Oryzias latipes: one gene and its partner. The protein of the gene in region 1 purifies or fractionates together with the protein of each later gene. This does not show direct contact. Links are inferred from orthologs where the notes say so. Each region holds a gene or a part of one and is shown in the gene's direction. Other genes may lie near its edges.

Region 1 (3,681 bases):
GGCTTTTAAAATCCTAACATGAATTCCATTTAATTGAACCTTGAGTTTGAAAGTTGCTTCTTATTCAAATGCCTTGTGTGTTTGCAGGAGATCTGCCTCAGAGAGTCAGAGGTGGTTTTGTGTGGAGGTTCAGAGAGCATGAGCCAGGCTCCCTATGCTGTTCGCAACATTCGCTTTGGAACAAAGTTTGGACTTGATCTTAAGGTTTGTCTTTGTATGTTGTCTCTGAAAACATGGGATGTGCAGAAAGAAAAAAACTTGCAGTTTAGAGGAAGACACTAAGATGAAATCTCTGACAGCTGGAGGACACCTTGTGGGCGGGTCTGACTGACCTGCATGTAAAGATACCAATGGGAATCACAGCAGAGAATCTGGCAGAAAAATACGAGATCACACGAGAGGACTGCGACAAATTTGCTTACCAGACGCAGCAAAGGTGGAAGGCAGGTGAGAAACTGCAACTTTTGATATCTTCCTTCCAGCGAAAAGTGCAAAAATATTTTGTCTTGGAGCGTATTTATCATGAATTTTAATTCTTGACGGTCAAACTCTGTTTACAGCTCACGAAGGGGGTCACTTCACAGCTGAAATTGCCCCCGTTGACATAAAAACAAAAAAAGGAAAGGTTCCCATGGCTCAGGATGAACACCCGCGGCCTCAAACCACACCAGAACAAATGGCCAAACTGCCGTCAGTCTTCAAAAAGGGGGGAACCGTCACTGCTGGAAATGCATCGGTCCGTTCGTGAACCCTCCGATTGTAACCTAATAGAAAAAACCCAAATAATTCTTTAATAACAGCATTTCCAGGCCTTTGGATGTTGTAAAAAATATGTTTATCTATATATTTTTAGCTCACAAAAAGCTCAAAGTTTTTTTTATTTTTTGCTCTGTATTTATTTTGAAAATATTACTTTTAGTGGTGACAAACATATGAATGAAATTAATCTGATTTTTGTGAAATGTAATAATAACCTGTCACTTCTACTTTACAAAAAATGGATGTAGGTTTAGTTCTAATAAAAGTAGGAGCAGACCTTTTTACTTCAGTAGCAAAAAAGAAATCAAATATCCCTAAATGTGAGTCTATTGCTCTCCAGGGGGTGTCTGATGGTGCTGCTGCTCTGGTGATTGCAAGTGATGATGCTCTGAAAGAACACAAGCTCACGCCGCTCGCCAGAATTGTGGCTTATCATGTGTCAGGCTGTGACCCGAGCATTATGGGTATCGGTAAGTGACACTGCTCCCAGAGAGATGTTATTTGAAGCCATCTGGGTTGATAGAAAGGAATGAACCTGAATAAACCTAAACATCTTTATATTAGAATGATAAATTTGGATTTCTTGGTGTCATTTCAGGTCCAGTCCCAGCGATTACAGGAGCTCTTAAGAAATCTGGTCTGTCTCTAAATGACATGGATCTGGTGGAGGTTAGTATTTTAAGATATGACAACAGGGTTAATTTTCTTTTTTAAATGTTTTTAATTAAAAATGGTAGCCTCTTCCTGATGTCAAAGGTGAACAAAACTTTGATTTTGGTTGTAGATTTGAACTAAATGCATGTAAATTTCACATGCACGCTGCATGTGAAATTTTTTGAAAATCGGTGAGAAAATGTGAAAATCTTCAGATCTCACACTTTACCACAACATGGCCACCAAGCAGCAGGTCCTGTTGCCATAACATAACAATTTTTAAACGTCCTTTGGATATTCGCGACACAAATGTGGGGGGTTTTTGAATATTTTTTTTTTTCCCTCATAAGAAAATTTTGGCCCCAGTCTTTTTGTTTTTGAAGGTTTCACTGGTTGCGATGTCATCATTGTAGGGGTTGATGACTTTCAATTTCATCAGATATTAGGTACATGCAAATTTTGGTGAGTTTGTGGCAGGGGCAAAATATTTGGCTCAATTGCTAAAATAATACTGTCCTTGCAATTAAGGACAGAATAAAGCGGTTAAAGTAAAGTGGTTACAGGGACACGCCATTTTCTGCCTTTGCTTTTAGTCATTGCATCTTCAGTTACGTGCTTGTGTGCTGCTTTCAGGTGAATGAAGCGTTTGCTCCCCAGTTTCTGGCTGTTTCAAAGGCTCTTGGGCTGGACCCAGAGAAAACCAATGTAAATGGCGGAGCTATTGCGATCGGGCATCCTCTCGGTGCCTCTGGAGCTCGCATCACTGGCCACCTTGTGCACGAACTCAGGTAAATATATGCTGCTATTGTTTGTGTGCATTGATATGTGTACAAGAAAAGGGTGCCACTACTCATCGGCCTTTGTTTGTCACAGGCGTAGAGGTGGAAAATACGCCGTTGGATCTGCCTGTATCGGTGGAGGTCAGGGCATCGCCATCATCCTCGAGAGGTGTTGACAGAAGAAACTGCCTTTGCTCATGGAATCTCCTGAAACAATGTCATGCAAACTCACCGGCTACTAATGTTCTAACAAGGAAAAACCTCTTGGTTCCAACCAAGAGAAGAAAAAATATTTGAATTGTTTCCCAGAGAGTCACTGACTGGATGAGCTCCAAAACGTGTTGCTATCATTTTCTTTAAGTACTCCTCTTCAGTCCAGTCGATAGATATAAATACAGGTTCATTTATGCATGTTAGCTAAAGTAATGACTCCAAATTGCCCTTTGGATTGAGAATGTTTTGCTTTTGTGTTCCTTGTGATGAACTCATGGCCTGAAGTGTGTATCGCACTTCTCACCTGCTAAAAACCTGAGATGACCTTTAGCAGGTTCCCATGACCCTCAATAGAATGAAGCTTGTCTAGAAAATCGTTAGATGGAAAATTTCACATCTTCAATCGTTCTCATAACTTGAGCTAATAAAGAAAATCAAGTTTCTGATTGTCATAATGATGGAAGAGGTTATTTCTGCTTACAAACATTGATTACTTCCTGATCATGATGGCAAGTAATATATTATCACAGACTGTTTGCCTTACTCGCTCCATGTTCAGGATTTGGTGTTGCCTTTAGTGGCTTTCTGTGGTAACTGATTTTGTACTTCAGTGTTAAAGTATCACAAATAAAATTTCTCAAAAATTACTTTTACTCGTTAATGTTTTTTTTTATTATTTTAATTGTACATATTTTAATTGTACAATCATATTTATTAGTTCAATTGTGTTCCTCCAGATTTATCTTCGTAGTACGGTGGCCCAGAACCGCCATTGCAGAAAAAAAAAGATGAGCAAAAAGAAAAAAGCAATTGCAAACAAAAAGAAAATGAAATGCAAATAAAAAATAAACGCTGCAAGTAATAACAGCCATGACAGCAAAAAATTTAAAAAAAAAGTGGTGCCAAAAAAAGAAAAAAAATGCAAACATAAAAAAAGCGATGCATCTACGAAAACGGTTGCAAATAAAAGGAAAGCCTTAGTGGAAGTGACATCGCCACGAAAGTAACGCCACAACAGATCTGGGGTCAGTTTGCTGTACGCACACCAGACGTCGATTGGCTTTTGCTACACACACTGCTGAGAGAAGGAGGAATACAGGAGTATGAATCGGAAGCTGAACAAGAAAGTGAAGTAAGTGAAAATGTTGGTGTTAAATGTTACTATGTGTAAATTTTTACTGCAAAAGCTTAGAGGCTTCTAAATGACTGTAAGAAGTAGCTAATTCATATGATTTACAGTAAAAAAGAAAGTCTTGAAGACTCTTTAGGAACCTGA
Region 2 (4,379 bases), on another chromosome or scaffold:
ATGCCAGCATGTTTTGACAAGTTACAGCTTCCTGCTGTCCATTAGATGCTCCTGCTTCAGAGCACACCAAACCAAACAGCTTTTTTCATTTTTTTCTAAATACATTTTCAGATATAATTTAAAGGACTGACAGTTGTTTTAAAACAAGCCATGAACATTTTTTTTTAAATTGTCATTTTACAGTGTTTTTTTTCTTCTGTTCTTTGACAAATATACCTAAGAGACTCTGCTTTACACTCATTCTCCTCGTTTCCTCATACTAATGAGAAGTAACATGGGTCACCAGAGGATTTGTGATAAATAGCGTCAACATTGATCAACTTTAATACATGTATTTATAAAGCAGCTACTTGGCTTCAGAGCACGCACCTCATTTGGGCTTTTGCTCCCATTTTCCAGACTATTTTCTTGCAGTTTGAAAGTTTTATTTTAAGAGTGAAAATGTGTAGGTCGTATTAAGATGGTGAAATGGAAACAAGTTGGTTTAATTCTAATTTTGTTTTGTATTCTCGTGCGTGCATTCATGATGCAGCAAATGCTTATAGATGTACAACTGTCAACTAAATGCTAACTCTAAATAAGACGGCTATATTTTAAAAACATGAAATGTACAGAAAAAAATAATACCTGCAGTTGGTTTCGAACCCAAACTTTTTTTTACAGCTCAGTTAACTTTGCATTAAACAATAGGCAAATTTGCTTCATTTTTTTTTATTTTGGTGTGTTTCTATTTCACTGTTTGTGTTATCTAGAGAGAGATTTTTCTAGATAAAGATTTGATGTAACAGGACTTCAACGCTTTATAAGGACATTGATCCCTGAAATTTCTCACATTCCATAAAAGATTATATAGGGGGCAAATCCTGGGACATACTGGAGTGAACATCAGTAACCTGACGTGAATCCCCAAGAGGTAGAAGAAAATTTCTGGTGGGAATTTTACTTGACAGGATTAGACAAACTACTTTGGTGGCCATTGGAAATGAGGAGTGTGTTAAGACTTCCCATGTGCCGGTTAAAGCTTAATTTAGTTGCAATTCATTGTCAAAAAACCATTGATTCAAACTATCATTGTGTGTGTAACTTGGAGCCTGATTTATTTAATGTTTTTAACCGAATTTCCACACCGGGGGCAGGGAGTACACTGTGGGATTACCTAACGTGAGTGACCATCAAAAGCAACCAATAGGAACCACCCATTTCTCTGCCCAGAGTTTCTGACCAATCAAAAGCTACAAACGACGTTGCATCGGTAATCAACGCGCTTTATGATTGGAAGTTGGAGGGAGATGGGCGTGCTTTGGCTTTTCAGTGAAGTTAGATGGAGAAGAACCAGGAAGAAGAGCGAATCTGAAGAAGAGTGTTAAGCGTATAACCTGTCTGACTGTCAGTTTAAGACATTTTATCGACTGTTTCTTCACCCAAACGCGATGGCTGAGTAAGTTTATTCGAGTTTTCTATTTTGAATATATGCTATAGACGTGGGGGTGGTAGCGTTTTAAACGGCCGTTTGTCAGTTTGTAGGCCTCTGGAGTTATAACTACAATAACTTTGTTGTATTATTATTACATAACTAAATTGTTTTTTAACGAAGTATATAGTTAATTCATTCTATTTCCATTTAACCCCCCTAAGAAAAAGAAATATCGATGTAGTCGCTATGGATTCTGGGAAATGAAGTACATTTTTAAAGTAGATTCAATTATGAATACTTTAGCATGTACGGCTGTGTGCCTAATCTTTAGAACGCTTTTGTAGTCAGAGTTTTGAGTCCTGACAGTAAACGTGCTCGCTCCTGGTTTCACAGGGCTGACATTGCTCTGATTGGCCTGGCTGTCATGGGCCAGAACCTCATCATGAACATGAATGACCATGGTTTTGTGGTAAGACCATGGCTTCCTATGTTTTCCCATCTTCCTTGGTGAAGAAAGAAGATTTCTTTTCAGTCTGTCAAATCTCTGTTGTAGGTTTGCGCCTACAACCGTACCGTGTCCAAAGTGCACGACTTCCTAAATAATGAGGCTAAAGGCTCCAAGGTGGTCGGAGCCGAGTCCCTGGAAGACATGGTGTCCAAGCTGAAGAAGCCCAGGAGGATCATCCTGCTGGTCAAGGCTGGACAAGCGGTGGACGACTTCATAGACAAGCTGGTCAGTGGGTTGTACCAGTTTTAGGAAACCCAAACGTGTAGATGTGCAGATTTCAAACATTTCTTTTATTTCTCAGGTTCCACTTCTGGATGCTGGCGACATCATCATCGATGGTGGCAACTCTGAATACAGAGACACAACAGTAAGCCTTTTGAGAGCCACGGTTTGGTGTTTAAAATCTTTTTCCTGAGGTTGTCTCCACAGTTTTGCTTTGTTTTTGTCACCCAGCGGCGGTGTCAGAGTCTAAAAGAGAAAGGCTTGTTGTTTGTCGGCAGTGGAGTGAGTGGTGGCGAGGAGGGCGCACGTTACGGACCCTCACTCATGCCAGGAGGACATAAAGAGGCCTGGTACATCATGGATAATTGTGTGAAATAAAAACAAGGTTGGAATAACTTCATGTCTGACTATCTACTTGTATATTCTTTAAGGCCCCACATTAAGGACATCTTCCAGAGCATTTCTGCTAAAGTTGGGACAGGAGAGCCTTGCTGTGACTGGGTCAGTGCTAAAGCTTTGCTGATTTTGATGAAAAGGCTAGTTTGATACCTCGACAAGTTTCAGGACTGTTTGATTCCGGGGCAGGTTGGAGATGAGGGTGCGGGGCATTTTGTGAAAATGGTCCACAATGGCATTGAGTATGGAGACATGCAGCTGATCTGTGAGGCCTACCACCTAATGAAGGATGTTCTGGGGATGGATCACGATGAGATGGGACAGGTGAGTGTGACCCCCCTCCACCAAGGTAAAAAAAATAAAAATCCAAGTGGAGCAGCGCGACTAACTGAATTTCATCTTCAAATGTTAACACAACCAGGCATTTGAGAGCTGGAACAAGACAGAGCTGGACTCCTTCCTCATTGAGATCACCGCAAACATCCTCAAATACAGGGACAGCGATGGCAAACACCTGCTGCCGAAGATCAGAGACAGTGCCGGACAGAAAGGAACAGGGAAGTGGACGGCCATTTCTGCCCTGGAATACGGCACGCCCGTCACTTTGATTGGTAAGAGGAAGGAATGCAGCTGTAGACAAGGAAGTAGCTTTTTTTTTTTCTTTTTCTTCTGTCTTCTTTCAGTGACAGCTGCATTTATGATCCAGATTCCCAAATACAATAAGTCACGCCCGTTTGGGTTTCACAGTTAGTCAGGGATTGGATTTGTTGTTAGCTAACAAAGCAGCTGGTAAGCTTGGTCTCAGAGGTGTGATCAGTTCAGTGCAGCGTCTAAGAAGATTGAAGGCTTTTCTGATAGTCTGCTCATCTTAAGTGACGCAAGAAGGATTTGGTTTCAGTCTCTGTGTGGGACAAACAAGAAGCAACAATATTGTTCATCTCATGTTACATGTGTCCACCAGAGCTTTACATGAAGTTTATTGTAGATGTTTTCTTACATAATAATTGCCCCGCAGCAGTTCTGGACTGCAGAGACCAGATTGTTTTAGGAATTTTTCTTTCTAACTGCGCCTTTGAGCAAACATTTTGCCCTCACCACATCCTAAAAAACGTACCAGAATTTCCATGTTTTTACTACCCGTCAAAAATAAATTTTTTGACATGGTGAACAACTTCATTAAAAGCAATTGATAAGCCAAAATATCTTATGGGTCTGAAAAAATGCTTAAAATCAAGTAACGAACCAAAACACACGTGTCAGGATATCCAAAGGAAGTTTTGAAAATGATATATATATATCACATGTAGTATCATCTATGGTTTTGAGTTTGAGTTTGTAGATTTAAGCCTAACATGGCGAGCATACAAAAGCGGCGCTCCCCTGTTGTTTGTTTCTTTTTGCCAGAATATTATGAAAATTGAATAAGTGAATCGTTTGCTCCACCAGAACAAAACGATATGAATATATTAGGATTGTCAGCGGGGTTAACACAAGGAAATCCAAAAGTTGACTTTTGCCAATCCTTTACAAAATTACACAGACCTGTTCGCCATCCCCAGGCAACCAAACAATAAAATAGTTGTTATGGAGCTAAAACCAACTGAAAATCAGCCATTTAAAAAAATAAAATGTTTTTAAAAAGGGTGTAAAGCAGCCAGTGAAGGCAGGTTAAAAAAAGGGGGGGGGGGGTAATGGGGGGAGCGCCACACAGCGCTGCTCACAGCTTCAATCTGGAATTGAATTGATTGAATTTAGCCTGTTTAGTCCCTGTCAAAGCTGCAGATTGAGCAACCTCCTCATGAAAGGCCGCATTGTTTCATTGTGGACCGTCCTCCAGCA

Evidence for each region.
Region 2: the proteins of acaa2 (region 1) and pgd fractionate together in Homo sapiens (co-fractionation; 3 studies listed by BioGRID). This does not show direct contact. The link is inferred for Oryzias latipes from reciprocal best matches to the Homo sapiens genes ACAA2 and PGD.

What each region holds. Positions count from the first base shown.
Region 1 is NC_019867.2:6,251,281-6,254,961, reverse strand, and holds the end of acaa2 (3-ketoacyl-CoA thiolase, mitochondrial), read left to right. Parts: intron 1-87; coding exon 88-204; intron 205-299; coding exon 300-447; intron 448-560; coding exon 561-736; intron 737-1,099; coding exon 1,100-1,229; intron 1,230-1,357; coding exon 1,358-1,428; intron 1,429-2,046; coding exon 2,047-2,201; intron 2,202-2,286; coding exon 2,287-2,368; 3' UTR 2,369-3,052; downstream 3,053-3,681. UniProt on the Homo sapiens protein: In the production of energy from fats, this is one of the enzymes that catalyzes the last step of the mitochondrial beta-oxidation pathway, an aerobic process breaking down fatty acids into acetyl-CoA.
Region 2 is NC_019865.2:9,837,246-9,841,624, reverse strand, and holds the start of pgd (6-phosphogluconate dehydrogenase, decarboxylating), read left to right. Parts: upstream 1-1,296; 5' UTR 1,297-1,430; coding exon 1,431-1,438; intron 1,439-1,807; coding exon 1,808-1,883; intron 1,884-1,967; coding exon 1,968-2,147; intron 2,148-2,223; coding exon 2,224-2,289; intron 2,290-2,375; coding exon 2,376-2,494; intron 2,495-2,575; coding exon 2,576-2,645; intron 2,646-2,729; coding exon 2,730-2,864; intron 2,865-2,961; coding exon 2,962-3,151; intron 3,152-4,379. UniProt on the Homo sapiens protein: Catalyzes the oxidative decarboxylation of 6-phosphogluconate to ribulose 5-phosphate and CO(2), with concomitant reduction of NADP to NADPH.